4 linked regions of the Caenorhabditis elegans genome follow. The protein of the gene in region 1 interacts with the protein of each later gene in a pairwise test. Each region holds a gene or a part of one and is shown on either strand. Other genes may lie near its edges.

Region 1 (7,384 bases):
TACCAAGGAAAGGGAACACTATTTGCATAAACTGATAAGGTTATAAGACAATTATAATAATGTTTCCATTGGAACTGAGTTGTGCAAGTAGGTAGGTAACTGTAGGGTCTGGTAGAAAAATGCCGAAATTGGAAAATTGCTAAAACAAAAACTTTCACCAACGACGCTGCGAACAGAAGAAACAACCTGGAGAATGAGTCATTTCAGTGAAACAATGCTTCTTTTCTCCACTGGGTTCAGTTTCAATGGATATGATGCATATTGTCAGCTCTCTGTCAAACAGACCAACGGACTGCGTCGTTTTGCTAATGAATACATAATGTGACATATTTCCAAAATACACTTCCAAACGAAAAGCAACGGAATTGAAGAAAGGTGATGGTGGTGGTGGTGGAAGTCGGATCAGAAGATGGATGGCGGTAAGTGGTTCGATCGGCCCTGTTGATAAAGAGCACACCAGCTCATTATTTTTATTACACACCCCCATGGAAACGTCCGATCAAAACTCATTAATTTAGATTAGGAGATGAGGAAGGAGGAGAAGAAGAAGGCACTTTGTGATGACAGGCAATGTGAAAGCTTTTGAGTAAGATCGGAATGTAATCAGAGTAAATGTGCAACAATATCAAAACATGTGGCGGTTGTAAAATCGAGGAAGACTTTTGCCAAAACGCGAAAACATAATGCCATAAAAATAAGAAGTAACAGAAGGATGGCTGAGAACCAGAGACAAAGACAGAAACCCAGCAATGGAAACTAGAGGTTTCCTCGAAAATTTTCTAATTTTTCATGAAATAGTTTTTGCCCTAATGCTCTAACCTAGAACGAAGAGTACAGTGAGTCTAAGCCCCCCTTCGAGTGGACGAATAAGACGAGTATCGGGTGCGTGAAGTGTACCGCTGGTGCTCCTGTCGCTAAGCATGCTCAACGACAACTCGGGTGCCCGATGGTGGTATAACTAACAATCCGCAAACATGAGATGACTCCGTGTCTTTTCTCCTTATTCTTCTTCCGTTACTGTTCTCGTATTCTTCACGCATGTTCGCGCCCCTATATCTTGTTATTGTTCAATGCGGAACGAATTTTGGAACTAAAGATGGAAGGCTTTAAGTTTGAGAAGAATTTCATTATGTTTTGCTTCAAAAAATTTGATATTTAAGGCAAATGAATTTTACAAAATCAGTTAAAAAAACATTGAAAAAGTTTTGAAAAAAACATAAAAGTGCGCCTCGTTCTAAAATTTGAAAATATCCAGATTCTGATATCTTTTTCTGAGAATTTGGAAACAATTTTTCAAAAACAACATTATAAGTTCACTAAAGAAGTTAAGTGATCTGAAAAAAATTAGCATCTCAGTTATCTAAAAGCGAAAAATAAAGAGCAAAATGTGCCAACCCACTTAAAAGGAAACAAATGATCTGCTCAATCTGTGTCTGTCTGAACGGGATTATGTTACTCCCCAAAAGAAAAGGAGGACGTTCGAATAAGAAAACGAGAGTAACACATCCCAAGTAAGCAAACACTGCCTCAATCGGAACACGTCCATTGGGGATTTGCTGTGGACAGCATTTTTGACAAGAAATTTGCAGCATTTTTGGATTCAGAAAGTTGACATGAGTTTTTCGGGTTACCACTAGATATTTGAAAAATTCAGTTGTACTTTTTTGGAGTGATGAAAATAAAAAGTAATTGGTAATCTTCTAATTACAACCTGATCCCCTATTGTGTCAAAATTTATCATTGAAAAGTTTAAAATTTCTAACAATAACTTCAACTCAATTCCCATCTATCTCTTGGTTCTCAACAATCTCCAATTTCATTCGGAACGGCAAAACTGCGCACACTATTGGGGGCCACTTTTCTGTGGTTCGGGGGGCGAGATGTTATTCGATACTATTTGGTATAATAATTTAGGAAAGCTAATTGAATCGAAATGTGTGGCATTTTCTCAGGAGTCAGTGGCAGATAAAATGAAGGATCTTCATCAAAATGTTTAGTAGTAGAGGTTGCACAATCAACCAACTACATTTGATTAATGGGTGACCTTCCAAACAAACGGCAATTGCCACAAAAATTGGGTGAGTATATTGAATGAGTGTGGGAGGATAAGAAGCACAGAGAGATGAGTTGCAGTGGTCATTTGTTATCTCATTGAAAAAGAGCAAACGATTTGAGGATACTTTCTTTTTAAAAATTTTAATCATCGGATATTGAGAAGTACAACTTTATACCTTCAAAAATTGGTTTTTTTTTGTTGTTTACTCTATGATTAACCGCTTAAATTTAGATGTAGTTCATGGAGTGAACAAAACTTACTAGTTAGAGCAAGAATAAGTTAGCTATGTTTTTGTGAATGGGAAGGGTTTATTTTAATTTATCATTCCTAGATCAACAAGTCTTGAAACTTCAACCAGAAATTAATTCTGGTAAACTTTATGTAAAAACTGTATTTGGAAGATTCAAAAATTCCCTAAAGCACAGGCAAAAGGCTTGTCAAGTGAATGTTTTCAGTTATCCATCACCACATCTGCCGTAATATTTTCGTACCAGGCTTGTGTTCAATTGACAGGCTCGTAACGTTTCTCTTTTTGATAATTGATGACCCCTTAAACTATTGCTATCTCTTGCTCAATCAAATGGACAACTGCCTCAAGTTTGCAAAACTTGATCTTGATATCAGAGGGCTAAGCAAAAAACTTTGTTCAAAGAAAAACTAGAAGAAAATCGAGAAAAACAGGAGGTTCTTTTGAGGCCAGCTACACCTAATTACTCTCCCAGTTTCACTTGATCCATGGCAACCAAACGACACAAGCAATAAAACAAATAAGACTTACTTTTGAGGTGAGGTTGTGCAACGAGTCGAGGATTAAATTGTAGAGCGAGGAGCAGTTCTCCAAAAAGATATCCACTTCCTCAGCCGACGATTCGATGACCTGGAAATTAAATTATTGATCATTAAAATGGGCAAAGTAACAGCTGGAAAGATATCTAGGAGATATTTTTAACGATGGTTGTACACGCGCAATTCGATCTTGTACAGCTGCGTAGTGCAATTTAATAAAACAGTTTATAATTTGATACAAATAAAAAACCAAAAAAGGTGAAACAAGATTTTCAAAAAAATGTAATTTGTTATTTTCATTATTTAAAATTGTCAAAATTATTCTGAAAAATTAAAATATGCGCCCATTTTTCTAAATGACCCTCACAAACGATTTAACGACAATCAATGGCCACCCGCTCTACCAAAAAGAAGTGCTTTGCTTTCAGTGTGACTGTAAAATTGGTAATTCCGAGTCAATTTACGATTTCTCGACCTTCCGGGCGGCCCACTTTGCAATAAAACGAAGAGTAAACCTGACGTTAATCGATTCAATTGCCAAAATTGAGAGGATCAAGGAACATGGCACAGGAATCGTTGTGTAGGAACAACCAAGTTTGGAGAAATGCACTCGAACTTGCAAGTTGCTCTTCACTGCCGAGATGCGCACCTCGAGAAACACTTATGGTATTGGGCACTCGGAATCATTCTCTTCTTACTAACAGCTTTTGCCAAACAAAGTTACTAGTAGTCGCGCTCTGGGAATGTGTGTGAATGGCGTGAGGATTCAATGGTCCGCATATTGTTTTTGGAAACAAAAAGAGAAATATGGGGTAAGTCAACAAAAAAAGGTGTCCATGAATGTGTTGACTTTGCGGTACCTTAACAAGGAAATCTGGGAAATACCTATACTTACTAATAATACAATGAAATATTTTACAAGGAACCTAAGGTGTCAGTCAATTATTTCTCATGCGAATCTTTTAAATATTAAAAAGTATCGCATTTTAAAGGTTTTACACATCATTTAGCGGACCAATTTTGATAACTTTTATGTTTTTCCTGAAAAATGGCTCTCAAAATTATGTGCAAAATCTCTGAAGATCAATATAATTATGTTGTCTGAACTTGATTCTGCGCTTTTTTGCTAATAAATGTACTTAGCACATAGAAATAATTAATATTTTTTAATGATAAATTTTCGCACACTGAAATATGGGAATGTCTTAAAATCTCTTGAAATTTAAACTCCCGTCATCAATAGTTTTACACTTTCTCCTTCAAACTTCTTTTCAAGATAACCACAGTTTTCAATTCAATTTACTTCGTCGTCCCCCACCAGATCAAAACATTCGATAAGAAAAACTAAACGATGCGGAATTTGAATGTGCGACACTAACTCTTTCCACCTCCAGTTATAAATCTTTGAAGCACAGCGAAAAAAAACTTCAGCCGTTCGTCTTTAGTCAATCGAAAGAAAAAAAAAGATAGCGTGGAATTCGGGATTTTTTGCGCCAAAATTGAAAACTCGGCCTCTCGGGCTTTTTGACAGCTTTTTGCAAACAATTGATGGCGCAAGGGTAAATGCTCAAGCATTTTTCAAAAAGGCACTTTCAATAATCAAATAGATTTGAAAAATAAAATTATTTTCGCTCGTTTTGGTTTAGAAAAAAACTACATTCTACTTTGGTTTGAATAAAGAAATCGAACTTTTAATTTTTTTTCTCCTACTTTTAACGAAATTTTACTTTTCAAATGAATTCAATATGCAAGAAAATGCGTTGAAAATTTTAAAGTATTTTTTTTTCGTAAAATTTAAAGCTCTGCCTCACCTTCAAAAGATGGTCCTCCGATGATATATCATTGGGCATCTCGACCTCCGAGAATGAGTCCATTACGTCCATTCGTAACCTGTTTTCGGGTTACTTTCGGTGTCCAGGAATAAAAATAAAAAAATCAGAGAAGTTTGTATCCAGACGTGGGATACTGTACTGGTAGGGGTGGACGATCAATTACGCATCTGCGCAATATGATCACGGATGAGAAACGGATCTGGAAAAATTTAGTTTAGACGGAAAAATACTTAATCAAAACGAAATGAGGTGAAAATTTAAAAATAGAAAAAGTATATACAATTTTTTGTGTGTAGAACAAAATAGGAAAAATTTCGTGAAAAACAAAGAAAAAGAGATTAGTTGTTTCATTGGAGCTGAAAATAAATTTCAAGAAGAGATTTCTGTTGAGATCAAAGTCAAGAAACGGAAATTCAAGTCATATTGAGGATAGAAAATTTGCAAAATATATACTCAATTCAAAACTAGCCTAGTTTACCAAAAATCTATGAAAATTGTGTCGAGCAGTAAAACATCCTTTTAAAGATAATAAAAAATGTTTTTAATAAAAATGTAGAAACACACGAAAAACTTCATAAATGTTTTACTTATGTATAGTACGGTTTCCATAAAATTTGTTAGGCCAGTTTTTGAAAATCCAAATAAAAATCCATGGATTTCATGCCCTGGACAACAAGCCATCGCCCGCAAAAATGTTCGCAAATTAAAAGATAAACATAGAAAAGTGTGAGATGCTCGAAATCTGCCCCCCAATCCGAAGTCTCCGCCTTAATAAACAATAATACTGATGAGAGAGGAGAATCTAGAGAGTTGGGAAGAGAAGCTTGTGATGATGATGGATTATCATGTCATTCACACAGTTTTCGTTTCTTTTCGACACCTGATAAAATAATAAAAGATGATAATTATGATGGAGATATTGTTTTATGAATTTTTATGAAGATTTATGAAGATATGAAAATATGAAGAGATAGGTGTGAAAGTGATAAAAAAGAGATTGGACCAGGGAAATCAGCTGGAAGATTTTATTTTGTGTGAAAAAGTCTCGTGATTTCCAATAAAAAATATTAAGCAAAATTTATGGAAATTATCACAACGAGGTCCAAGAAATTTCCAAATTACTACAAAATAGGTTGTAGCTTTCAAAAAAAATGTAACTTGATTTAGAAAGTTCTGGAAAATATCAATTAACAAAACGTTGGAAAAAATATTTTTGAACTTGTTGAAAATTGAATTAAATTCCTTTTTTTTAAATTCAAGTTTCCACCCATTCATTTTTCAATTAAAATTGAATCTATGGAAAACTGGAAAGGAACAAATCGAAATTTTGAAAATGTTCACGAATAGATGTCCAACAGCACATGGCCCTGACACTTTTCGAATTTATTGGTTTTGTTGCAACAGGAAGTTCCCCCAATAAATGTGATAGAAACACAGTGAAACGATGGGATAATGGACCCAAGTTAATGGAGTCGGAAACGGCAGACAGCCCCGGCTCATTTATCACCAATGTGCGAAACATTGTGATACTAAAGTAGAAAAGGAACACTTTGTAGTGCCCGAATGTTTTACGAGTTTTAGAAATGATTTGAAGTACAATTTAGAAATTTCATACTTGAAATATTCTGAAGAACATTGCAAAATTTCAAAAAGAAAACATTTGTTTCTAGACTAACATCAAAATTACAACGCATTACCAAAACTGCAGAATAAACTTCGAACGTCGTGTCTAATTTGTTTCACAATTAAAACTATTTAGGCCCTTTGTCTCAAATGTTTGAGGGAATCTACGGCAAGTACTTGCATTACTATCAATTTGGTAGAATGTTGGCTCTGCATTGGTTGATAATAAAAAAGAAGAGACAACCGTTTTTATTTGATAATGCAACAAAATGTCGCCCAAACTGCGCTTCTCGTTTGCCCCCAGTGACTCATAGAGGGGTAACACTTTCAAAAACAGTTAGAAAACTTCAGCTCCTTCTCAAAATGCGTAAAGCCATTAAAAAGTTTTCAAAAGAAAATTATGCCTGAGCTGATCAGTTAATTGAAGAATTTTGAGTGTTCAAATGCCAGCAGAGAATTTCCAAAAACACTTTAAAATTTCAATATTAATTGTAAGCACATTAATAGAAATTAATTTAAATTCCAATATTTCAGAATACTTCCTTTTCTCCGAAAACCTTTCAAACAATGTCATCTTCAAAATGAACATGATGCTAATCAGTTCATTGATAATTTACTTGATACTCCTATGCCAATGGAGTCATAAAGGTTGAAAAACTCAGTCGACACGTAAACATTTACTACCACCTGATACTATCTCGATTGCTACTGTGAAAATTGGCAGGAATGCAAGAAAACAACGGGCGCCTGTAACTAAAGGCGGTCAGCACCAAGACAAAAAACGACAAAGAAATGATAATTTGTGTATGTGTGGAAGAAACGCAGACAGTTGAAGAAGTCAAAGACATGATTGAAAAAGTCAAACAGTTTGTGTTGACGACGTGGGAACCATCAGGAGACACACATTCGATTATCGAGCTGTTTTTAGTTTTCTTTTTGAAGAATGATAGTCTAGGGCAAGCGTGTGGGAGTAGAAGGGTTGAGAGGAAGACAGTGCAACATTGCTGGCTGGGTGCCAATTTTTTCAAATGTGAGAAATTGATCATGTGAATATATTTATAGAGACTGACATAGATAGACAGATGAT
Region 2 (10,463 bases), on another chromosome or scaffold:
TTTCAGTTTCCAGACTCCATACACTTTCCGGTATTCTTAGAACAATTTTTTTTGAAAGTAGTCAAGCGGGTTATTATCGTGAACTTTGAAAATACATCTTATTTATTTTTTACACCATTTTGAAGCTTTCAAAATATGGAACCAATTCAAAAATGCTTCAGAGCGAATTTCACAATAAAAAGAAATTACCTTCTTCATGAAAAATGACATTTTGGATTTTTGGCATAATTTCCAAAAATTATCTTATTCTACTGAAATTACCAAATATCACAGCTCTCACGGGCGCTTCTCTAACTTTAAAGTCTATTCGGATGTGATTCCATCTGGAATAATTTCAGACTTGGAGCAATAATGTTTGAAATAAAATATTTTTTAATTTGTTTTTAACATTTTTTATTGTTGTGAAACGGGGGTGTTTTGTGGCCCGAATGATAAAAACTGATTGGATAAAACAACAAAAATTATCATCTAGGCGAAACTTTGAATATTAAAATTGAAGAGAAGTAGGAAAGTAATGGGATATGAGAAGAAAACAGCGCATACCACAATTTCTACCGTATCCTGGTTGCGATTGCATCATCTCATCTGCAGGTAGCGATCTCGTCAAGACTTTGATTTTATTGTTTTACTTTGAAATTTCAGGCTTAATTTGTATCAAAATTTTTATTGACGACGATTTCTTATGCAACCAGGGACTCGGGATGGTTTGGATGGAACATTGAATAAATTTGTATTAAAAATTGATGGGAAAACATGAATTGTGGGTGGGAAATGATGTCGCTCGATTGACCTAATTGTTCGAAATATTGATTGGGGGACAGTCAGTCAGAAGCACGAGGGGCAGTGGGACAGAACAAAAAGATAGTCGAGAAGATTTAGTGATGGAAGAACGATAGAAAAAGCGGATGGGCGCATTTGTTGGGGAGAGAAATAATTGAAAATTTAAAAAGAAAGAGAAGAAGAACATGAAAGAAATAGAGAAGAAAAATAAAACAATTATACACATCTTATTAGCAATTTATTTGATGATTTGATGTATGGCGACGCTTTTTGGGATGTTTAATAATCGTCTTCCGTGACGAAAATCTGCAAGAAAAAACAAACGAAAAATGTGAAAAACAAGTGACGTAAAATAATTAAGGTGTTGGGAACAAATTTTTTTAAAGATAAAATGATAAGTAGTAGTTGCTCAGGATTTCTGTTTTCCGACACAGACAAAAACAATTCTTGAAATTTTCTTATTGAAATTAGAACCATTTTTGATTAAAGTATTTGTCTATTCTAACTATGAGCGTTTAACATAAAATCTAAAGTATTGACAAATCAAAGTATTTTCAACAAAAAAAGAAAATTAAAATACCTTGGAGGATGACTTTCCGGTGACAACAGATGAACGATGCTTGGCACGGATGAGGTGAAGGCTGGACTCGGCTTGATCGGCACGGCCCTCAGCATCCTCGAGCTCGTGTTGGTATCTGCGGACTCTCTGGAGGTTTTGCATTGTTACGGACTCGGACTCAGCAAGTTGTCTCTTCTGGATGTTGAGCTTCTCGGTAAGACGATCAGCGGTGTCTTGAGCCATAACGAAGTTCTTGTGCTCTTCATCAACGAGTTGTTGAACCTCCTTGATGCGGCGATCCTTCTTTCTCAAGGCATTCTGGGTCTCCTTGTGTCTTCTGGTTTCCTCATCAAGAGCGGTCTCAAGATCACGGATTCTGGTCTCCAACTTGGCGATGACTCTCTTTCCTCCGAGAAGAGCGGCAGCCTCAGCTTCTTGAATTTGAACTTGGAGTTGCTTGACTTGCTCCTCAAGAGACTTTCTCAAGGCATCGATTTTCATCGAGTGTTCTTGTTCCTCATGAAGTTGTTCAACGGCACGGGCAGCATCAGCAAGAGCACGGTTGGCGCGCTCATCAGCGGCGTGGAGTTCCTTGGTGACCTCATCCAAATCAGCTTGAGCGGTGGAGAGCTCAGTCTCGAGTTTGTTCTTGATGGAGGTGAGGTTGTTGTTGATGGAGATAAGGTCGGAGATACGTCCATTGGCTTCCTCGAGGTCAACCTCGGCTTGCTTACGGGCGCGGATAGCGTTGTCGAGAGCGGTCTTGCATTCCTCGAGTTCAGCAGAGAGAGCGGCGACCTAAACATATATAAAAATGAATTAAGAGACCACAAAAATGATAACTCACCTTGCGTTGAGCGAGGGCATATTGGTCCAAAACTTGTTGCAACTGACGTTGAGTATCCTCCAATGAGGCTTGGAGAATCTTGAGTTGCTCCGATTGCTTTTTGATGGTCTTCTGGGCTTCGATGTTAGCTCTGTAATTTATGAATTTAAGGGTTGAATGTTGAAAAAATTAGTATTTACCTGTTAAGGTTATCAACAGTCATCTCGAGCTCAGCGATCTCAGCCTGGTACTTCTTCTTCAGTCTAGAGATCTCGGACTTCATGCGGGCCTCGGCATCAGCCAAAGCGGCAATAAGTCTGTCGATTTCGAATTGAAGGTTCTTGCGAAGAGCCTCCATCTCTTCTTCCTTCTCTTGGAGACGACGTTCCATTTCGATGCGAAGAGCCTGGAGCTCAGCAAGGGCACGTTGAGCGCGGTTTTCGGCGTCACGGCGTTGAGCATCAGCCTCCTTGAGGGCAGTCTGGAGCTCACGGATTTCTCCGGCAAGACGGGCGTTCTCGAGGTCGAGCTCGTGGAGCTTGCGGTTGGCGTCGGCAAGAGCCTCCTTGGCTTCGTGAAGTTCGTCGTGGAGCTTCTTGTTCTCGCGAGCAAGAGCCTCCTTCTGTTCGACAGCCTTCTCGTACAAATGCTTCATCTTCTGGAGCTCAGCATTGACGGCACGGAGTTCGCGTTGAGCAGCTTCGAGTTCAACAGTGATCTCATCGATACGGACCTTGAGTTCTCCAACTTGTCTCTCGAGTTGTTCTCTGGCACGCTCCAAGAGAGCAATGGTGTTCTGGGCCTTCTCAAGATCAACGATAAGAACCTCGACCTCAGATTGAAGACGAGACTTGGCCTTCTCGAGTTGAGAAATCTTCTGGAGCATGATCTCGATTTGCTCTTCATACTCAGCTTGCTTCTGGAGCATCTTCTTGCGGAGATCCTCAACTTCTTCGTGGTGAAGGGCGACCTCAGCATCGAACTTGCTCTTCCACTGGGTGATCTCAGTGTTGGCAAGGTTGAGCTTGTGCTCAGCATCGGAACGGGCAATCGACTCCTCATCGAGAGCGGTGCGGACCGAGTCGAGCTCGAGCTGAACCTGGTGGAGTTGAGATTGAAGTTGGGAGCGCTCCTGAAATTTCAACGTTCTTTGATCTTCGCACGTTTATGCTTTTTTAATGTCCAGAAATGCGTCAGAGGAAGAAACCCGATATTTCCGCCTCTGAATTTGGCACTTTGGACTAGTAGACTTACGCGCTCGGCATCCTCAAGACGACGTCTGGCCTCCTCGAGCTGTTGAGCGAGGGTGTACTTGACGTGTTGAAGGTTATCGAGTTGAACCTTCTGGTCGTGAACCTCCTGAAAAACATTAACGATCCCTGATCTGCTAACAGAACACACTGAACGAGACAAAAAAACGATGAGGCTCACAGAGCATCCTCCTTTCTAATATCTCGAGTACTCTATTTGCACACACACTCTGCGGAAATAGTAGCGATAAAATAGAGAATTTAGTAAAGAAACCCCCTGTTAAAAGGGGTTTCTTTTTTTCTTTTTACCGCATTTTTTTGCTAAAAAAAAGTAGAAAGATGAGCAGAGTGATCGGTGGCACGTGATAAAGATGATAAAACTAGAGATTATACACATGATACTTCAAAAAACAAACCTTGAGAAGATCATTGTTCTCAGCTTGAAGGCGTTGACGTTGTTGGGCGAGGTCATTGACGTGCTTGTTCAAGTCCTCGACCTTGTTGGCAAGTTCGTTGGCTTGGGCTTCGAAGCGCTCAGCGGCCTTCTCAGCGGTGTGTTTGTCCTTCTGGAGCTGGTCGATAGTGGCGGTCAACTCGATGACTTCGTGTTGGACGCGTTGGCGTTCGCGGTCGATCCTGAATGATGATGATATTGCGTGGGATGGGAGGATATTTGGAATTTAACAAAAAGTCAAGCAGCGGCGAACAAGTAATTCTTGATGTGTCAACAATATGTTTGGCTATGAATGATGTCAGAAAGCAGCCGGTTTGGACAGGTGAAACTATTGATAGTGGGTGGAAAAGTATAAACTAATTTTGGATTTAAAAACATTACGTCAAGAGTTGCACACAATTATTTTCATGGGAAAGTTGAACTCGAAGATTTTTGAACGCAAGAAGGGAACAACTAAAACTTATTTTACAACTGAATAGATCATCTATGTACATTGTTTAAAAGATTAACATAGATTCTAGAAATGTGTTTTAAATTACGGAAGATTTTCCTTGATTTCATTGAAAGTTATTTGAGCAAAAAAAAGAGACATCATAAAATGAATCCATCGTAATTTAAATGGGAAAAATACAGTATTTTTCCTATTAATATACAGGATTTCTCACGCATTTTTGTTGTTGAAATGTGTTCATAAATGAAAAATAACCGAGATATGAGCTGTAAAACTAGAGGATAGGAGGTGCAAGACTAGGCTAGCAACCCCTTGTTATGAAACAAATAATGTTTGATCCTTACTACATTTTTAAATATTCTATAATATGTTCATGCATTCGTCATTCAAGTTCTCAAGCTGTCCCCTTCCCGTTCATCTCAACTTCTCATCCCAACTTAATCTCATTATTTTTTACCACCACCACTGTTTCACGGGAACGCAGATTGCTCGCCAAGCATCAAGATCAATGAGAGAAATGTGAGAGATATTGAGAAGATCAGTAAGACGCAGACATTCTTGTATCTCTCTCATCTCTTCCTGGAAGGCGAAACAAACACACACACACGAGAAACGTTTGTTATTTTACACACTTTGAGCTGATGCTTCTTCATCTTCTTATACTTCTTCTTCAGAGCTTCTGCCGAGCCGCCAACTCCTCCGCTGCCATTTCAACGCGGGAAGATAGAAGAAGAAGAAGAAGAAAATGAAGGCACAAGTACTAATACGAAAAAAAACTTAGAAAATAAAGATAATAACTTACTTGGCATTTTTCTTTTGGAGTTGCTCGATCTGATCTTGGTAGTCGAGGCAGGAATCCTAAAATTTCACGAATTCTTTAAGCTATAGCATAAAGATTACTGTACCTGGTGCTTTTTGCGGAGAACATTCATGGCATCTTCGGATTCAAGTTGAGACTCCTCGAGGAGCTTGCGAAGCTTTGAGAGTTCTCCCTCACGTTTGCGGTTCGATTCGATCTGTAATTATAATGTTTAAAGGTATAAGATGTTTCTTTAAATTGAAATTCATAAAAACTGGAAACTCACTTGGCTGTCGGTGGTTCCCTCGGCATCCTCGAGTCTGTCAGTCAAAGCAATAACTTGAACGGAGAGATCGGCACGCTCACGTTCAACCTGAAAATGGCAATCATGGTATCAGAGATAAAAGGTAAAAACTCACTCTGTTGCGGAGTTCGCGCTCTGATTCCAAATCCTCTTGGAGAAGACGGATCTTGTCCTGAAAAGTGAAACTGTATTAATTTGTAAAATCTTTGAAGAATTAATTGTTTCAAGAACTGATTCAGATAAAAAAAGTATGGATTCCGATTCTGATTGAACTTCTTGATGAACCTTATTACACGGACCTATAAATTTAGTGCCGAGTGGGGAATATTTTTAAAGTACTGTGAAGATAAACATCCTGACGTCACAAATTTAAATGTCCCGGAATTTCTTGAGATCAAACGACAAGAATACACTCGTAGCATACAATTCGATATTACCATTTAGTTTTTTTTTTGAATTGATATCTAAGCTTAACAAATAATGCATTAGGTTTCTTCGAAATTTTACAACACAGTGTGGGAGATTATAAGAGAAACGTGAAAATAGCTTATAGATATGAGAGACGTAGAGTGCATTTTTTGGAAATAGACCAGCGAATGATTTGGTAATTGTTTTTATTTTAATTGACAAAATGTTTTTGCAGGCAATTGGCAATAATCGCAAATTCAGTAGCTAGAACCATGAGAAAATATGGGGTCAAAAAATAATTGTTTTTTCAAAGAAAAAAAGCGTAATTTTTGTTTTTTATAAGTGCTATATTTGAAAATCTGAGAATTAGGGTTCTACTTTTTCTTGGAAATATATGTAAGCAAGCAGTAAGTTAAACAAAGGTTGCAAATCTTAGTTACACAAAGAAACTAGTTGCCGAGATGAATGATGAACAGATTTTTCAAAATGAAGATTTAGAATAAGGAATCTAAAGGTTTAATTATAGAGAAAACTAGGAAGTTTAAAAATTTTTCTGAAAATAGTGTTTTGGCTCGGAATATTGTTTTATTCCATACATTTTGATGCAGAAAAATAATATTTACAAAACTGAAAACGCCGTTATTTGTCAATCATTCAATTTAGGGACAAAACAAACATTTTTCTTGAGACTGAGGAGTACTGTAAAACTACAATTTGAGATTTTTCAAGTTTTTCAATTCTTCGTTGCTATATTAGATGCCTTTTTTACTAAAATTTAAATTACAGATATAATTCAAAATATCAGTCAATGAAACATCGATTCGATGAAAAATGGAACACGGGTTTTGGGGTTTTGGCAGTGAAATGTTCAGAAATGGTAGAAAACATTCAAAAATTTACCTCGAGTCTGGTGAGTGATCCAAGATCGGCGACGGACATGCTGCCAAATGGAGCACCGAACGCTGCTTGCGACGGGCTCTTAAGAAGAGCAGCGGATGGCGAACGATACAATGACATGATCAAATGGAGTATTCAAATGGATGGTGCCCCTGTGTGTGCTGCTGGCTGGCTGGCTGCTTCGAGACTGACTGATTGTGCGTTGGGGCTCTGCCGTCGGGAAGACACATACACACATATCTCATCCCGCGCCGTTGCGTCGTCGATCGTCTCTCTGTCTCCAAGTATCTCTCATCATCAACTTCTACGAAGGTAGTGTGCCCGGCAGGGAGCGAGAGAGGAGCCTCAGTGTAATCCTTCTTGCCTAGCACTGAGCCACCCTCCCACTCTACGCTGCGTATCTGATAAATGCCATTGTGTTTTTGCCAACGAGTTGGCGGGATACGATCTCGAGAAGAGCGCGCCGAGAGCCGAAGCGCAGACGATGCATCAGGCACCCGCGGGCCAGGAGGTTTTAAACATTCGAATGATATTGGTTTGGTTCGGGTTGAGGCGACACGGAAGAAATTCAGCAAAAAGGGATGAGCACAGACAAAAAACATCGGGATCCACCAAAAACTTCAACTCGTGTTTGTGTGTGCCTTTTGAATGTCCGAAAGGGCAGGTGTGAACTTTGACGAACGGATAGTAAAACGAAGACCACTTAAGAAAAAAGAAACACAAAACCAGAAAAAGCGAGACTGAACTGCCATTAATCGAATGCCATTCCACCTATCAGTAATCAACTCTTACTTTATTCAGGCTCTTCAAGCCTGGGTTGTCTCCAATTTTCATTAAAGTTTCTCAGAACTATACTGTTACCTTTTAGATGATCCATTTTCATAAATTTATAAAAGTCTTCTATTAATGGTAATACGTCTATACAGTCGAAATATTGAAGAATTCCAAAACTCGGTTGTCAACTATTTGAAATTCCTTAATTACAGATAGTTATGCTCTCTTCTTGTCCATATCTATTAATACACTTCCTTAATTGATAGCCTTGTCATATATGATCTGATCAATGTTTTAAAAAGTTCTTGGATCTCATATTCTGAAGAAATAAGTGCGAAGTGTGTAATAATTGAGTGTATCCCGGAGAATGTGTGTGTGTGTGCGTGTGTGAGGGGGTGGGGGAGCGTATCACAACAAATTGTGATGAAATCAAGTTTTTATTACTTCTATAATAACTTGGTATTCAATTTCCAATATATCGGCTCTTCCGAATGTTTTTTCATTAATGAAAAATAGGCTTGATAAACTGATTTTCAAACTGAAATTGTGTCATGACGTCAAAAAATCAACGTTTTCACTCCAAATCCCGTTACTTCTTGTGACTCATGTCATTTTTAAATAAGTGTTGTGAAATTTCAAAATCTTTTCTAAATTTTCAGAATTTTACTTCCATTACGACTGATCAACCAGACAACAAAATACTCTTGTTGAGCAGTGTCAGCTGACAAATCGTGATGACCGAGATAATTAGTTGGTTGCAGAAGCAGGGGATGGTGAAATGTACTGACATTCGTTTGAACTTAATTTCAGATTTGATTATAAAGAAAAAATCTTGAACATTGTAAGTTGATGTTTATTGATTGCAAAAACTAGGATGGTTTTACCCCGCTAACAACTTTCTGAGGAAATATCGATTGTCGCACATTTCCATTCCAAAACGTGACAAAAACTTATAAAATGTAATAGAAAACGGTAGACCATTTATATTTAACTTTTACAAAGAGTGGACATACCTTTGAATAGTTTTTGTTAGACTTTAGTAAGGCCAGATTTTGGTTAAACCTTGCATACGATTTCCACAAGATTTCTAGCAGTGCTGCCGCTTGTTAAAATTATTTTTAACATAACTTCGAGAATATATGCTAATAATGCTGTAAGTTTTCTCTCAAGATAGAAACTTGGAACTACTGGATTTATCATTTTGTAGACAACTATCCAAAACAAAGGTAGATCAAAGCATTTTAATTTGTTGATATCTTCCAGATTTATGCAGTGAAACATGTTAAAGTGAAATATACTTGTAGACCGTATTTCATTTTATCTTTTTTGTTTTTAGCACTATTCCTTTTATTAGGAGAAGATCTAAAAACAACATTTTTTAAAGATATTTGCATATTTTTAAGTTATGCAATTTTGATTAATAGCTATATATTTGTCACCTTTCCATCTTTTGTCCATCCATTTTTTTCGTGATCATTACAAAGAATCTCTTCAATAGAATTCCCTCCAGAAGCCGCCCATTCTCTCTCATCGGTCTCCACTGCCATCTCAATATCTTTTTTTGCCACCGTACACTCTCTGAACTCTTCAGTGACAAGCCCACATCTCACACTCTTCTTCTACTACACATGCTTCTCTATCACATTTCTTTTTGTGCCTTCGTTGAAATGGCAGAAGGGTCCGGGAGCACAGAGGATCTTTCTCTCTGTGCTACTCGAGGAGCAAGAATGAAGAAGCATTTTTCGGCCCCGCATTATTGTTTTAAAGTATTGGCAACTGGGAGGAAAAGAGATATAGATACTCAGCAAAGGAGGACGATAATGAAAAATTTCAGCCGAAACATGAGATCAATCTTCAAAAGAATATTAGAGGGAACATGTCAAAATGTTCAGATTTTAGAAAAAAAAAATTTGTTTGAAAAAAATTTTAAAAATTTCGGAATTGAGTATTTGAAGATAGTTTCGAAATCATTTGAAAGTTACTGTTCTGATATTATACAAATATCTAAAATAATTCGAAAGCACCGAGAGGAGCTTATGTGGTTTTGCTATGATTTTTTGTTTCATGTTATCAAATGTTTACAGCTGAAAATAATAAAATCAATACTGTTTAGCTTGAAGAAATTTTATTGCAATAAAATTCATCACATTCCAGAAAAATTTAAGTTGATTAGAATCGAGCACGACGACGGACGACAGCGCTTCCACTGTATGTTCCTGTGGCTCCATCTCCAGCTCCAGCTCCTGCATCCGGTGCACCACCGGCAGCTCCAGAGCTTGCATCCGCACCTGTAGCAGCACCTGCTGGAGCTTCTTGGGCCAATCCTGCTGTTCTTGGTGGGCATGGACAATAGGCGGCGTCGACTCCTGGTGCTCCATCTGTTCCTGGCCCTCCTGGCGCTCCTGGAGCTCCTGCTTCTCCGTCTTTTCCTGGTGGGCCCGGTGGCCCCGGTGGTCCTGGTGGGGATTCTGGAGCAGCAGCGTCTTCTCCAGCTGGTCCAGCTGGTCCTGGAGGTCCAGCCGGTCCAGGAGATCCCGGTTCGTTGGTACTTGTAGTTCCTGCGGCTCCTGGTTGTCCATTTGGTCCTGGTGCTCCTGGCTGCCCATCTGGCCCCGGTGGTCCGGCTGGTCCTGCTGGTCCAGCTTCTCCTGGTCCAGCAGCATCTCCATCAGCTCCAGGAGCTCCTGATGGTCCTTCTGGTCCAGCATTTCCATCTGGTCCCGGTGGCCCTGGTGGTCCAGCAGGACATTTGATACAGTTACCTTCGACTCCAAGGAAACTATCAGCAACTCCTGCAGCTCCATTCTCTCCATCAGTTCCAGCGGTTCCAGGCTCTCCAGGCGCTCCATCTTCTCCTGGTGCTCCTGGTGGTCCTGCTGGACAACCAGTTGATTGAGCAGCACAGTTACATTCTCTTTCTGTACCTCCGCCGGTTGCATATCCAGCAGCTCTCTTTGCAAG
Region 3 (7,483 bases), 5.4 Mb from region 1:
GTCTTTTCAACCTGTGATGCACTGCGACCGTGTTCCATCTCTTCAAGAACCACTTGAACTGATCTGAGCCAACTGTCTCTCAACTTGGCCTTCTTGTGGAATCGTTGAGCAAGTTGTTCCAACTTTTCCTGTCTTTGAAGCTCGGCAATGATAGCAACTTGTCTCTCATTTTCGGCATAATCCAATTGTGCCCAAGCAGACTCGATATCGTGCATGAACAGTCCTTGTGGTGGTTGATATTGTTTTCTGCTCATCGCTTTTCTTTTAGTCTGGATTGTGAAGAACAGAGCTTCGAGTTCTCCCTTCTCCTTGTACTTTGGTGGTTTCTCACTTGTTCGGAATTGGTTGAATTTGGCATGTTCCTCGCGCATTCCATTAAGAGAGTTTGGGAAACGACGTGATTCCAATGTCTTGATAGTAACACGAATCCAATTGAGAAGCTCAGAAGCAATATGTTCATAATCATCTTCCATGGTTTCCGAAACCATAAGTTTTCCGACAATCTGAAAACAATTTGTTAATTTTTTTCATGAACTTATAAACACTTACATTAGCAATACGTCGAGCTCCTGTCATCTCAGTCTTTTGCTTTGCAAAATGATGATAGTACAAGGAAACATATGTAATGATTGACTTCTCGTCAGGCCTGGTAACGTCAACATCTTCAGCATCAAGAAGACGTGCAATCTCAAGCTTCTTTTCAGCCACATCAAACGCATGATTCAGATTATCCACATGCTCGTTTGGATTGAGACGATTGAAATCGACAAGATCCGGACGGTGCGAATGGATAAGTGCATTGAAAGCCAATCCATTGCGCCAACTTGTAGTGAAGTTTTCGATGCGAACATTTGGATATCCAGCTGTTTTTCTCTGACACCACAACAGCAAGGCATCTTTGGCATGTTTTCGCTCTCCACGCTCCTCCTCATCCTGAAAAATTTAAACTAAAACAAACAATGGCTTCTCTAAACTCACTTCAATGACAATAGTGTCAATCTGGAATCGGAGGATAATCGTCCAGATGAGACCCAAAATAAGTCGCTCGTTTCTGTCAAGAATGTCTTCGGCTCCAATATTTTCCAATTGGATTTTCTTTTTCTTCAAGAAGTCAAGAACTTTGTTCAAATTTTCCACTTTCTGCACACGCATTCGGCCACGATTCGGTTTTCCGAGTTTGTCTCCGGAAATGATTTCAAGAAGTTTCATGAGCATAATACCATCGCCGACATCTTCGAAAAGGTCAACAATCTCCAAACTTGCCTGAAAAATTGTTGTGCTTATATGGTTTTAATTCCTAAACTTATATTAATACCAAGTCACAGTTTTGGAAGTTAAAATTTATATTCTTATTTTTTCAAATATTTATAATTACCCTTGTGATTAACTATGATAAGATTTCAAATACCAATCTTCAAATTATATTTTTTCAACCCCAAACTTTGCAAAATGTTGCCATTTTGCTAAGATTGAAAATTACAACTCTAAAAAAACATTTATAATTTCTAATTACGTTAATATATTCTTTTAGACTATATCAAGTGTATTTTGACAAATTCCGCACTGGTTCTACCCCATATGCAACGAATGAATTCAGTTGATTTCATTGGTTTTCATCCGAACATTCCTTTCGTTCTTGCATGCAAACTGATCTCCAGATAAAGATAAGGGAATTTGCAAGGTCATCTTGGTCCGCATTACTTTCCCGTTGCATTATCCTCTTCTCTTTCCGTAAACAATTCTTCCGACTAATTGAACCTTTCTCCCTCACCTATTCCCTCTAATTCTACCCGTCTCTCTTATTCACTCTCGTGTTAACGATGACCGCCGTTATAGAATCAAATACTCCAATCAGTTGTTATCACAACTTACCCGATTAAGAAAGGAGTTGCACCATTTTGTGAACGTCTTCTTCTGAATGTGCACACGTTCGTCCTGCAGTGTCCGAATGCGTGATCTTTCAAAGTACAGTGTCTCATTATTGAACTCGTCTTGATCTGTTCCATTGGCATCTGCGCGAACTGGTGGTGCACCACTTGTTGGAACACGAACCTGAAAAAATCATTATGAACTTGATGCTAATTGAACTGTTAAATATTTCTAAACGTTCTCAGTTTTTTTTCGGATCTTTAAAACTTTCCAGAATAATATTACGGAACCAAAATTGTTACATATAAGGAAAAACAAATATTTACTAGCTCAGCGTCTTTCCGTTTTGACAGCATAGCCTTCCTAACCGGGAGAGACGCTTGCCGACCTTAATGATAAACAGAAATAACATAGAGTGTATGAGAGCACGTCAGCTGACTACTTTAAGAAAATGAATGATCTCCAAATGTTCATGAGTCATGAACAATTTATAAAACAAAAAAACAGCAACTACCTGTTCTTCAGGTAATGTTCTAACACTTGGGGTTGGAGATGAAGCTGTTGATTTCATAGATATTGAATAAATTAACTTTTTCGGCATGACTTTTAGAGCAAATATAAACAACTACTACAATCTGACAAAAATATTAGATGTGTTGGCTTGACTATTGGCAAAATTGGGATTTATGTTTCAAACGCGTAATCGGATTATCTTAAAATCCAATCATAATAGGTTTAAACATTCATTTTCGATCTACAGGTTGATGCTACTTTAAAAAGCCTGTCTAGTTCATAAATATAAACTTGCCTGCATTTCGTATTTTCTCATTTTGTCTTCAACGTTGTCTTCAGATACACCGTCGTTCACTCCTTCGCCGTAATACTCGTGCTTCTGATGTTGGTGATAGTCGCGGTACTGGTAGGGTTTTACTTCCCCACTCGATAATCCAGTACTGCTCGTCGCCTGATAGTCGTTCTCCGGTAAAGGATCTCTAGGTGTTCTTCGCAAGTGATCGAAGTCAACGTTTTCGCGACTTGGGGCAATCTCCTTGCGATACCCTTCTACCTTGTCTGAAAAATATACATTTTAGTTGATAAATTTGAAAGTTTCTTGAGTAGTTAAGTGACTAATAGATAGAGAAAAAAGAAAGACAAGTTATATATACATTTCTGAAGAGAATAATGATCAAAATGATATGCAACAGAGACGCCCACGTGGCACAAAAAAGACAAAGATTATTAATATTTGGAATCACATCGTTTTTCAGAGAAAAAGTTTGAACCTAACTTACAATTAAAACGGGAAATTGTATCCAGCAACAAAATACTTTCAAGAAAAGTGAAAGATTTTTGAAATAAAGAAATGTTTCGCCGAACATAAACAGTGAAAGAGTGGCACACGTGGTACACGTGGCATTCCTATGTGTGCGACTATTTTCTGTGTGTGTGGGCAAAGTTCACGTAATAATGTTCACGTGAAATATGACTTATTAAGAATTTGTACGTCGGATGTCGTACGACGACGCGACACAAACAAAGTTAGTAATATTTAACTGGAATCAGAAAAGGCTTACAAAAAAGAAAATGGAATAATTGGAAAGCTTTTCGAATGAAATTTTTTCTGAGAAAATGTTGGAACTATTCTGCAATTAAACAAAAAAGAGACGTGTTTAGCAATCGCTATAAATGTCCAGCAAAAAACATTGACAGATTAAATTTCAAGTAAAAAAGCAGAGAAAGTTCGAAACGTCACGAAAATTTTCAAAATTTTAAAAGTAAGGTATATTGTGGAGGTGGGGGCGTTCCCCGTGTTTATTACATCTGATAACAGCGTCTTATCACTGCGAAAAAGAAGAATGAGTCACTGAAATGTGCTCCGCGGGATGGTTGCTGAACTCATTAGTAAAGACGAACCCAGGGGGCAAAAAGTGAGAACAGAAAATGGATTAGACAACGGAGGGAATGCTATTGGAACTTTGTTTATTTTAGTGAAGCAATCTGTCACAGCATAGAGATCCCAATAAGACAGATACATAAATATCTCATACTTGGTAAATTGCAAATCGAAATGACACAGAGGACAATGATTCACTTTAGAATAGCGACAAAAATATGTGGAAAGAGAAAAAGTACTAAATTGTATTGACACTTCAACACTACCACCTATCACTGTGCCCTTTTCCTTCACGGCTCTATGGACGCTCTACTGATGGTATGCAGTGTTGCATATTTACCCTCTCGCCACTTCCATATAGAGAGAACGAAGAAATAAAGAGAGAAAGGAATGCAGCAGACTGTGAGAATGTGCAAGAATGCATATAACACAACAACACCAAAATTAGCAATATTCATACAATTTTTTACTTCGATCTATTATATATTCAAGCGCCAAAATTTAGAAGACTACTTAACACAAATATAAAAATTTAGAAAATTTGTTTGCAGAAACTAATTTGCACCTACTTTGATGTGCCCAAAATCAAATTAATAATTTCAGAATTTTTTTGAAAAACTTATTACAAAGAATTTAAAATGAAAGAGCACATACCATTGAGATTTCGAACTGTTTTGCCTTCTCCAGGCGAGTAGCTTGCCGCGAACGACACATACGACATGATAAAGCTTCACAATATTAGCAAGAATATATTATGTATATAGCAAAGTCGAAAAATAGTAAGTGGTAGTATTTCCTCCGTTATGAACAGTCTTGACAATCCGTGTTCGATTCTTGTCAGATATGGAGAAAAAGGGTCAAGGAAACACGGCGACACTCGGACAGTAGCCGTGGTGGTTCCTCCTCAGTCTTCAGAAGGTAACTTCTTATATAATCTTTATCTCTTCTGTGTTCAATTGCAACGACGTCCGGCGTTCGTTTATCCTTTGCCGAGTCTCTCTATACAATACTATCCGAATATGATGAGAGAGAGAAAGAAGTAACGGAGAAAGTGTCGGAGACGATTAGAAGACATCCATCGATCGGCGCGATGGATAAAAAGTATCGAATATGTGTATTCGCCTGACGGGAAAAGAACGGAAGGAATGTTCAGCGGCGGCAACAATTGAGTGGTGGCCGAAATGGGCGAGAAATCGAGGATTCCGGTGGCGGAAATTGACAAACACAAAAATAGCTGACCGCCACAGTGGGGCACTTGAGTTCAAACATGTCTGTTTCAAGAGCCAGGAAGAACACCGCTTTTTGTTCTTATCCATGAGCAGCCCACTTATTATTATAGTTTTTTATGATTTCTTGTTTATTGTTGACAATATTTGTTGACTTCTAGAAAAAGACATCATACATGTTCTTGTTCAAAGTTTTGGCAAATTGCCAATTTTCGAAAATGTCGGTTTTTGGAAATGTTTAAAACAATGCCTCATTTTTGGACCTATAAAATGCTTAAAACATAATCCAAATATGAGAATATTAAAATGTTTCGGACTACTTCAAAAATTATGAGTGGAGGACATTTAGTTATTTTGGTGTTTGCCTACAAAAAACTTTTTCAAATAAAAGTCTTATTATGATATTCGTATATTATTTTAGGGAGAGTTTCTGATAGTTAATCCCACTGGAGTTACTTTAAACAGGCATGACAGGAATATGCACAGGCAACTTAAGAATACTAAGTATCTCTGAACAAACGAAAAACTTTAATTACTGTAAAACTTCTAGTTATTCAGAAAATTATTTTAGAACAACTTTTCGACAACGCATATGGATCAATTCTTCAAGGAAAAAACACACCCATTTCTAGGAATTCAATCTATTCATTCAACGCGTGTATACGTTTCCATTTGTGTACTTATGATGAGTTGAGTTCGTCTGTCAACACGGATGCGTCAGAGTTGACGCATTTCGTTGAGGTATACTTGACCATAAACGCCGTCATATTGACAATGATATTGGCATGATTTATGGACGGGTAACAGGTCGACAGGTGTTTTGGGAAACAACTTTTGAAAAGAGAATGGAAATGTAGATAAACAGAGCTGTACTCCCGACTCAAACATTTGCCGAAATCTGAAGCTGACAAAATACGACTAAGTTTCTTTCACAATCGTGTAGTTTACAGTAAAAAAAATCTTTAAAAGAGTACTGAATTTTAACCTACAGTCAACAAACTTTTTGTGGCAAAGAGGAACAGAGAACCAAACAATTCCACGACAACCATAAAAACTGCGAGCCAAAAAATCAAGACTTTGAAAGGATGATAAAACAGTGAGAAAACACACATATTTTGGCAGAAGGCAGTGAAATGAAACGGACAAGAAAAACGTAGGTCTCTCCTTTTTCAAAAGAAAAGTTTCTTTCACCACCTAATTCAGTGTATCTAGTTGTCCGATCAGTCGAATGAAAGACGAAATCTCGACAAAACCGACACCGACAGTCGTCCACTACCACCTTACAAGTAGTATTCTTTACTTTTTTGAAAAGTGGAAGTGTGAGAATGTAAATGCGATAAGTTTCGTTTAGTATTAGCGAATAGGAGAAAGAGGCGAAGTGCGCATAACCTTGTGCCGAACACATTGAACAAAAAAGTGCTACAGGGTCGGTATGAATCGTCGCCAGATGTGCTACAAATGTCGGAAACTGAAGGAATGAAGGACCGGAAGAAAAATCGCATAAATTAAAGTAGACACTGTAGGGTTTGTTTCATCGAAAAGGGTTTATGTTGCGCAGCGCAGATTTACATATTTCAGAAATTTAACTGATGAATAAGCGTCGATTATCTCTAAAAACTGTGTCACCATCACTTGGTATATCAGTATATTATAAACAGAACAACTAGTGAAGTATGAATTACTCTAGAAGGAACACTGTCTAGATTATAAAAAGAACACCTATGTTGTCTAAGATACCACGTGCACACATTCCCAAGGACATTGCCCGTTAGATACATAGAATTTCAAATTTACAAGAGGTGGGAAACAAAATTTCAAAAACAAGTTGAGTGATAAAATAAGAATCAATTTTACAGGGGTAGTGAAAAATCCCATGTAAATTTCATTACGAGAAGAAACTAGAAACACTTCGTTCTTCAAATTCTGCATGGAAAGCACAAGTATCGGTTTCTAGATCTAATTAGGTTCATTTTAAAGCTAATATTGCTGTCAAACACGTAAAATATAACTGTGTATTTTAAATCTTATAGATTTAAAACAAATCATTTATAGATCTACAAAAGATATAAGCTTACATGAACAGATTTAAACCGTAACTTACAAAGAATCGGAAGTCGAAGATTGAAAAAAAACCAGAAATTACTATTTATGGTCATCAATTTTATTTTGAAAGTAAAATTATTTATTATAGTAAAACGTGAAACCCATTTAATAAAACCACAAACTATTGAGAAATGTTATTCGAAAAACGCGGCCTTGATAAAAAACGTTCACTTGAGCGTGCCGGTGTTTACGGACTCGACACTGGGCTGTGTTTCAAAAAGGTCTTCTACGCGGGAGAAAAAAGGGTGTTCTCCCTCTCACCTCTCCCGTTTCCCGCTCTCCACCAGCACAGTGACGCAAATTTGCGGACTAGACTACAATGGCAGTCGAATGGACCCTCCTGTAGGTCAAACTACAAACTCTAGATTGACCTCTGAGAATCGTGGGAATA
Region 4 (7,558 bases), 6.4 Mb from region 1:
CGATTTTCTCGGGATTTTGAGTCGAAGCTTCCTCGGAAAAGAGATAAAAATGCATAAGCCGTGCGACGAGCTCAATCAGTTCCACGTGTAATTTCAGCTTTTCCAGAGAGTGAACCCAGAAGCTCCACATTTCGATTGCCTCCTCGACGCTTATCACAGCGAAATCTATATCATTTTGTATAATATCGACGAGATTTGCATAATTGTTGGATTTCCACAATTGCTTCACACTATCGATTCTCTTTTTCTTTTGTAGGTCGTCAATGCTTAGCTCGACGTCCCACGTGGCAAATGAGCCATATGACGTGGCAATTGACTCGTCATGGTGCATCAGAGAGAGCAGGGTTTCCAGATATTCTAGTCTGAAAAATTGAGAAATTTAAACATTTACTTTTAAAAAAAGAAGGAAAATCGGAAATAATTTTCTTAAAAACTTATTTTTTGCCGATTTTTTCAATTTTTCACAGCATTTTTCAGATAAATTTTTTAAAATTCAATTTTTTCGGCGATTTTCATAAAAATTAAAAGAACAACTAATTTCTTCATTTAAGAATATATTTCAGAGTTTTTGATAGAAAATTTTTAAAAAAAGCGAAAAAGTTTTTTTTTTTTTTAATTTTTCTTGTGTGTTTTTTTCATTCAAACGGAAGCAATCGAGAGAAAAAAATTTTAAAAACGAAAAAATTAGACTTTTTTTAAATTTTTCGGCGGTAAAAACGAAAATTTCGAATTTTTAGCGTTCTTAGCGTTTTTTTTTTCGAGTTTTAGCGTTTTTCAGAGAAAAATTTTAAAAAAATTTCGATGTCTACATTATTTTTAAACGTTTTTCGGCAGAAATGTAGAAAAAATAAACATTTTCGATTTTTTGAACTTTTTTTTTTGATTTTCAGAAAAACTTATTTAAAAATTAAAGGTTTCCGTTTTCTGTTATTTTCGAGAAAACTTTCCATTTTTCCACTTTTCTTTGAAAAAAATGAAACATTTTCGATCTTTTGTCAATTTTCAAAGGAAAAATTTAATAAATATTTCCAAATATTTTTTCTCGGAAAACGATAAAAAATGCTGAAATTTCTGCGTTTTACTGGGAAAAAAATTTTGCTTTTTTTTTTTCATAATCTCTACAGATTTTTGCCCGTACTTGATCTCATCCTTGAGCCCAGTTTGAGCGTATTTCCACATAAATCTTAGGATCCCATCGCGTGTTTCTTCTCCATTTTCCACAGAATTTCCGCCAGAAAACGGCGAAATATACTTAATCACTGCCACTTGCATCGCCTTTTTCGAGTCGAGCTCCACGAGCATCACATTCAATTTCTCAAATTTTTTATCAGAAATCTCATCGAAAAGTGCAAGCCTGGCGTACATCTCTCTCGTTACTTCTCTCATATTTTCTGGAAGTGCTCCGTGAGCCGGGGTATGATCGGAGATTAGGAATAGAGTGTGTTCCAGGATCTCTAGAATCGAACGGGATTCACCAGAGAATATTGTTTCCAAAAGTTGAAGAATCATGTCGCAATCGATGAATTCGTGAGGTTTTGATGGTGGCGGAGTTCTGAAATTTTAGAAATTAAGATGGAAATGTAGATTTTCAGAAAAAAAAAATTTCACTAAAAATTCCTCTTTTTTTTTTAGCAATTTTGGGAGAACTCAGCCAAAATATCAATATTTTTAAAATAAAATTCGCAAAATTTCGATGATTGATTTTATTCACACTCAATTAAAAAAAGCTTTTCTCCACAAAATCTTTAAAATTTCGGGCTTTTTCTCAAATTTTCTTTTTAAAAATTGGATTGATTTGCTTTGAAACAAAGAAGGGTTTTTTTTCGATTTTGATAGAAAAAAAATATTGGAATTTTTCAGAATTTCAGCAGATTATTTTTTCGTTTTTTTCCAAAATTTATTTTTTTTTTTGAAAAATTTTCTCTGAAATAAAACAGAATAAAAGGTAATTTTTTAAAAAAATTTTCAGAGAATTAAAAAATATTTGCAATTCTTTATTTTTTCTTAAATTAAATTGTATATTAATTTTTCAAGTTTTTTAAAAAACTATATCACAATAAAAATCAATGTTTTTTTTTCAGATTTTTACCGTTCCCTTCGTTTTCCGCCACTCCTAATCGACTTGAGCTCGCTGAAAACCAGCTCAAACTCTTGAGCCAACTCATTTTCGGGCATTCCGAGAATCTCTTCAATCTGTGATGTGTTCTCTTCATCATCCTCATCAGCAGTTGTACAAGCTTCTGAATCAATAGTGATCACTATTGGAGGCTCCTCAGAGTTCTTTTCCACAAATAATCTCTTCCTCCAGCTCGCCAAATACTCTTTTTTCTCATCTTTCTGCTGCTGCTTCTTCCGACGTCCTTTTGCTCCACGTTTCAGGTTCTCCAGCTCTTCTACTTTCTGTGAAATGTCCTCTACACATTCCACGACGTCTACGAGATGCTCAACTGTGTCGAGAACGTCTAGATGGTCTCGCCGCGATTCCCATTCGGTGAACTCGATGAGCTGATGCCGACAGTGAGAATAGGCGTGGATACGGTCGAAGAGGTCGCAGAAAATTGTGCAAACTGTTTGGAGACTGGAAATTTTTTAAAAATTATTTTAAGCCTATCTGAGTTAATTTTTTTTTGCCAAAAAAGGAGCATATTGAATTTTTAAAATTGAATTTTATGACAGAAAATAGACCGTAATTATTTTTAAATCATTTTTTTTATTTATTTTCCGGCATAAGATAATTACTTGTTGAAAATTAGAATGCGCGAAAATTCTTCAAATTACTTGAAAATTACTATTTTTCGAGAAATTGGCAACAACTTCCTTGAAAAATTAAATTATTATAATAGTTTTTCAGTGGTTTTCCAGTATTTTTTGATCTTTTTTCTAAATGAAAATTTTCCCGTAAAAAACATTTTTTAAAAAGTGAAATTCAATAAACTTCCAAATTTTATCTTTTAAATTCGCGTTTTGGAGAGAAAATTCAGAAAATTCAAGTTTCTTTTATTGGCAAAATTTAGGATTTTTGGTGAAATTAAGCAAAAGTGGAGATTAAAAAAACAACGTTTTTCCAGAATTCTTCTCAAAAAAATCAGCTAAATCTGGTCAGATTTGTGCAAATTATCCCGTTTTAACCCTTTTTATTTGTTTGAAATTGTTTTAAATGAATTTTACTCTAATTTCGTGCCGAAAATACCCAAATTTCCAGAATTTCCAACATTTTTTTTGTATAAAAACCTAAAAATTTAGTTGAATTTTTTTTTTGACGTTAAATTTTTTTAAAAACAAAAATCGGCTAAAACTGCACAGATTCGTATAATTTTCCTCAATTTCTCTCCACAGTTACAAAATTTTCGCATTTTTCCGACGATCATTGCGAAAATATTGTTCAAACCGTCTTTTTTTGTTAAATATCTTTTTTAAAAAATTTTCTGCAAAAATTGTGGGATTTTGTGTATTTTTTTTACAAATCTGCTCAGATCAAGTTTTGGCTAGAAAATTCAACAAAAACAAGCTCAGAGCAATTTTTTCAGGTAAAAAATAGCTTTTTCTGATAATTTTTCGCTTATTAAAAAGAATATTTTTCTTCCTTTTTCAGTATTTTTAAGGCTAAAAATTCTACTCCTGATCGGCCTCAATTCGAATCGGAATCACAGAGCACTTCTCCTCTTCATCACGAAAATCTACGTCTCGCTGCTCAATTTTCCCCACAACTCGGCTCCGCAACGCCTCAATTCGCTCGTCGAAATCCTGAATTTTCCGTTTTTCAACACTTTGGACGTCCGCATAAACTTCATCTTCCTCGAAAATTCGATCACACGATAGTTTATAATATTGATTTGTGGATCGGATTTTATGCTTCAGGTACTTTAATTTATCATTTAACACATCATTTTGCTCTTGGAATTGTTTCATAATCATCAGACTTTCGTTGTAATCACACGTTAAATATAGCAGAGTTGCGTGGGATTCCAGGGACTCTTTTAGGGTCTCACACCGTTTGAAAGCATATTTTGAAAAGTTTAAATCCCCGAATTCTATTGATTTAAGTGCGACGTCGAGCCAAATATCCGAACTATTCGGTTCATAAGCCAGAACTTGACATAAATGTTGAATTTCTTCACTTTTCAGTTGCTCCTTCTCCTTTTCATCCGCATTTTCCACTTCTTTTTCACATAATTTCGCCAGATTCCGGTGGCTCGCTATGAAAACTTGAAGCATTTTCGCCAATCTCGGTGGCTCGTCGAGCAGCTCAAAGTCTGGATTCTCCTGGTTGTATGTGGCAATTATTGCGTCGTTTAGAAGCTTTTCCAGAATCCGTCGGCCTGTTTCAGAGTCGTTGTCGGCTATAGAGAAAATGGCTTTTTCGAATTTCTTTATAATTTTTGCTTCAGCGGCTTCTGTTGTAATTTCCTCGCCGTTTTCTTCATCAACATTAGACCAGACTGAATTCACAGATTCCGTATCCACAGAACTATCGGAATCATCTTCAGATTCCTCCTCGTCGGAGTCTTCTTCATCTTCTTCTTCTGAATCCTCACCATTGTCCTCATCCTCTTCACCGCCGGCGCCATCTTCAGGCTCTGTGTCGCTGTCCAATATTATTACGGAATTCTGCAATAAAATTGAATTAAAATGCTGGTTTCCGTGAATTTTAAGCTTTGCCACAAACCTCTCCGTCGGAAGACTCGTCGTCTTCATTGAGTTCAATCGGTTTTTCCTTGCTTGCGCCCAATTCTGATGGTTCTTCCATTTCTAAATTTTAGTTTAATAAAAAAATTTTAAAATAATACGAGTTTTGAGACTAACTTTCAATAAAAACCAAAAAAAATTGCTTCAAAAAAGAGTTCGCGCCGATTTACGATAAACACAGCGCGCTACGACACTCCGAAAACCGCGCCGCACCATTACATTCTCCGCCCCACCGCACGGTTTGCGGAAGGCGATGAAATTGCTGGGCCTAAAATTTTAACCCTTTTTTTCCCGTTTTTCAACTGTTTTCCCGATTTTTTCGATATTTTTTTCAGGTTTTTAGTTAGAAAAGTATATAAAAATTGCATTATTTGTAGTTTTCGCTCGTAATTTGTGATAGAAAACGGCCAATTTGCCTAGATTTGTGATTCTACCAAGTGGAATTTTTGGGAAAATATCAATATTCCACGATTTTTATTCAAATCATAACGTTTCGAAATTATCAGCTTAAATAAAACTAAAATAAATAATAAAATACTAAAAACCCTGAATTTCTCGGTTCTCGGTTCAGCTTGAGTTCGTTCTATACACGTTATCGATTTTTGTCATTTCGTTTAATCATGGGTTTTGATTCATTTTAAATATGAAATTTGATTTATTCCTCGTTTCGAAGTTGGTTTGTCTTGTCCGGCCGGTAAACAAATGTTATTAAAAAAATAATAAATTTCGAAATTTTTCGTAATGTTCCGCAATCGTGTTTTTCCGTTTATCTCGTCTTCCCTTCTTTCAAATATACTATTTATTTTCTCAATTCACATATTTTCAGCCAGCCCCGCTCAACAAGTGGAATAAAAATGCCTTTGGCCGTTGACCTTCTTCACCCAGAGCCACAAAGGGAGATCAGATGCCACAAGCTTAAGCGTCTTGTTCAACACCCAAACTCCTACTTCATGGACGTTAAGTGCTCGGGATGCTTCAAGGTAAGATTGAGCCTATGTGCTTAATAGCTGTTCATGAAAATTTGTTGTTTCAAAAGTTTTTGTGCGACAAACCGCCCGTTTTCTGAGATTGAACGATTCTTGTATTCAACTTGTTAAATCTCAACATCTAATGCTCCGAGAAGTAGCCATTTTCGTTTACGAAAATTTTCCTTTCAATCATTATTTAGGATTTGCATTTCATGATGATTATGACCTTAATTTCGGTCTATAAATATATTTCTCACGTCAGATATGCTCAAATTCACTTTTTTTCTACCATGCAATTTTCCCATACTAATTCGGTTTTTTTTTCAGATTTCGACCGTCTTCTCGCACGCCACCACCGTCGTCGTCTGCGTTGGATGCAACACCGTCCTCTGCCAGCCAACCCGAGGAAAGGCCAAGCTCACCGAGGGATGCTCCTTCCGCAAGAAGCAATAAGTTTCCCGTAATTGTTACATAAATTGTTATTTCAAATCCTTCCTTTTTTTGGTTGAAAGAAAAACAATGTGATTTTAAAAAAATTTTGTGTGTTCGACTTCCATTTGACAGACATTGAGAAATTGTTTCCTAAATCTGCCAATGAAAGGTAATTGGCGCTTCTCTTCCGTTAGCAATGTCAAACAACTGGATCATTGGCTGTCTCGTCTCTGGTAATGAGGGTGAAAACGGGGGTCGTAATGCCATTTCAATTGGCAAGGTACTTGCTTCTGGCTAGCAATTTTCAGGTGTTATTCTTGATATTTATTTTTTCAGGATTAGGTTACCGAGTGAAATGAGACCCCCCACTCAATATACGAGTAAATCATTTTCCGCGCATAGGTAATAAGAATAGTAGTGTCTCCCCTCCCTCATCGGAGATTATCAGTGTACTTTTCCACTGATCGCTCCCTCAAATTATCATAATCCTTCCCCACTTTTCTGTACTACTACCTTTTCCCAATCAAACCCAAAACCTTGAAAATAGATGAGTCGGATCACCACCACAAGCTTCTCCTTTACGCCACACTTGAAACAAAAAAGGAGATACAGACGGGTAGGTAATGAGACATGCGGAATAATTAGTACAGTAATTGGGCCCATGTTTCGGGGGGGGGGCAAGATTCGACGACAAGTGTCATATCGAAAGTGCCAAAGTAAATGAGAATACGAATAGGTTGTGGAGAAACCAGAAAAAGCTTGTTTCTTGTTTCTGTGTAGATGCATTTTTTTTTACAAATTTCTTTATAAATGTGATGAAATTTTGAAATTGTTTGATATTTTCCCGAACATTTTATTTTGATTTTTCGATGATCTGAAACGAAAAGTGTTAACCCGGTCTCGAAACGACAATTCTTTGTGGAAAGAGGGTGTGCACCTTTAAATAGGAGTACTGTAGCTTTGAACTTTTCGTTGCTGCGGATCTTTCATGATCAGTTTTTCGTTTAAGAAAATGGATTAAAATTATTAACAAAAAATTGTCGTGTCAAGATCCGGAAACACAAAATTGCGGATCGCGCAACATATTTGACGCGCAAAATATCTCGTAGCGAAAACTACAGTAATTCTTTAAATGGCTACTGTAGTGCTTTTGCCGATTTACGGGCCTTGATATCGAAATGAATTAAAATAATAAACACATTTATAGATGGAATATTAAAATGAAGCAAAAAAAACAAATAAAATAATATGAAGAAATGAAGGAAAACCTCATTTAAAAAATTAATGTAGTTTTCGCTACGAGATATTTTGCGCGTCAAATATGTGGCGCAATACGCATTCTCAGAATTTTGTGTTCCCGTAATATATTTTTATTCCGAAAAATTCAAAAATTTCGACAAATGAGATAGCCTCTCCTCTGGAGCATCCCTCCCATTGTGTTTACCCGATTCTTCTCAGTTTCCATTTTTCTT

The links.
Region 2: the proteins of unc-83 (region 1) and unc-15 interact in a two-hybrid assay, tested with the Caenorhabditis elegans proteins (one large-scale study listed by BioGRID).
Region 3: the proteins of unc-83 (region 1) and sma-1 interact in a two-hybrid assay, tested with the Caenorhabditis elegans proteins (one large-scale study listed by BioGRID).
Region 4: the proteins of unc-83 (region 1) and picd-1 interact in a two-hybrid assay, tested with the Caenorhabditis elegans proteins (one large-scale study listed by BioGRID).

Annotation. Positions count from the first base shown.
Region 1 is NC_003283.11:6,462,554-6,469,937, reverse strand, and holds the start of unc-83 (Nuclear migration protein unc-83), read right to left. Parts: upstream 4,874-7,384; 5' UTR 4,726-4,873; coding exon 4,654-4,725; intron 4,505-4,653; exon of another isoform or gene 4,305-4,504; intron 3,552-4,304; exon of another isoform or gene 3,371-3,551; intron 2,934-3,370; coding exon 2,835-2,933; intron 1,974-2,834; exon of another isoform or gene 1,765-1,973; intron 1,629-1,764; exon of another isoform or gene 1,489-1,628; intron 1,346-1,488; exon of another isoform or gene 1,206-1,345; intron 995-1,205; exon of another isoform or gene 846-994; intron 1-845. UniProt on the Caenorhabditis elegans protein: Cargo-specific adapter that is involved in nuclear migration during development and thereafter.
Region 2 is NC_003279.8:7,376,236-7,386,698, forward strand, and holds unc-15 (Paramyosin), read right to left. Parts: upstream 6,963-10,463; 5' UTR 6,849-6,962; coding exon 6,732-6,848; intron 5,596-6,731; coding exon 5,539-5,595; intron 5,493-5,538; coding exon 5,406-5,492; intron 5,337-5,405; coding exon 5,226-5,336; intron 5,179-5,225; coding exon 5,123-5,178; intron 4,052-5,122; coding exon 3,832-4,051; intron 3,525-3,831; coding exon 3,420-3,524; intron 3,298-3,419; coding exon 2,366-3,297; intron 2,317-2,365; coding exon 2,187-2,316; intron 2,138-2,186; coding exon 1,361-2,137; intron 1,087-1,360; coding exon 1,060-1,086; 3' UTR 652-1,059; intron 587-651; 3' UTR 369-586; downstream 1-368. Other genes in the region: col-35 (Nematode cuticle collagen N-terminal domain-containing protein), read right to left, coding at 9,672-10,463. UniProt on the Caenorhabditis elegans protein: Structural component of the muscle thick filaments which is involved in assembly and organization of sarcomere myofilaments. Involved in ovulation.
Region 3 is NC_003283.11:11,896,565-11,904,047, reverse strand, and holds the start of sma-1 (Spectrin beta chain), read right to left. Parts: upstream 4,600-7,483; 5' UTR 4,485-4,599; coding exon 4,418-4,484; intron 4,141-4,417; exon of another isoform or gene 3,969-4,140; intron 2,941-3,968; coding exon 2,678-2,940; intron 2,053-2,677; coding exon 1,873-2,052; intron 1,264-1,872; coding exon 979-1,263; intron 934-978; coding exon 550-933; intron 504-549; coding exon 1-503.
Region 4 is NC_003283.11:102,019-109,576, reverse strand, and holds the start of picd-1 (Pry-1 Interacting and CABIN1 Domain containing), read right to left. Parts: upstream 4,752-7,558; 5' UTR 4,748-4,751; coding exon 4,667-4,747; intron 4,609-4,666; coding exon 3,617-4,608; intron 2,579-3,616; coding exon 2,090-2,578; intron 1,553-2,089; coding exon 1,139-1,552; intron 363-1,138; coding exon 1-362. Other genes in the region: rps-27 (Small ribosomal subunit protein eS27), read left to right, coding at 5,541-5,666, 5,982-6,107.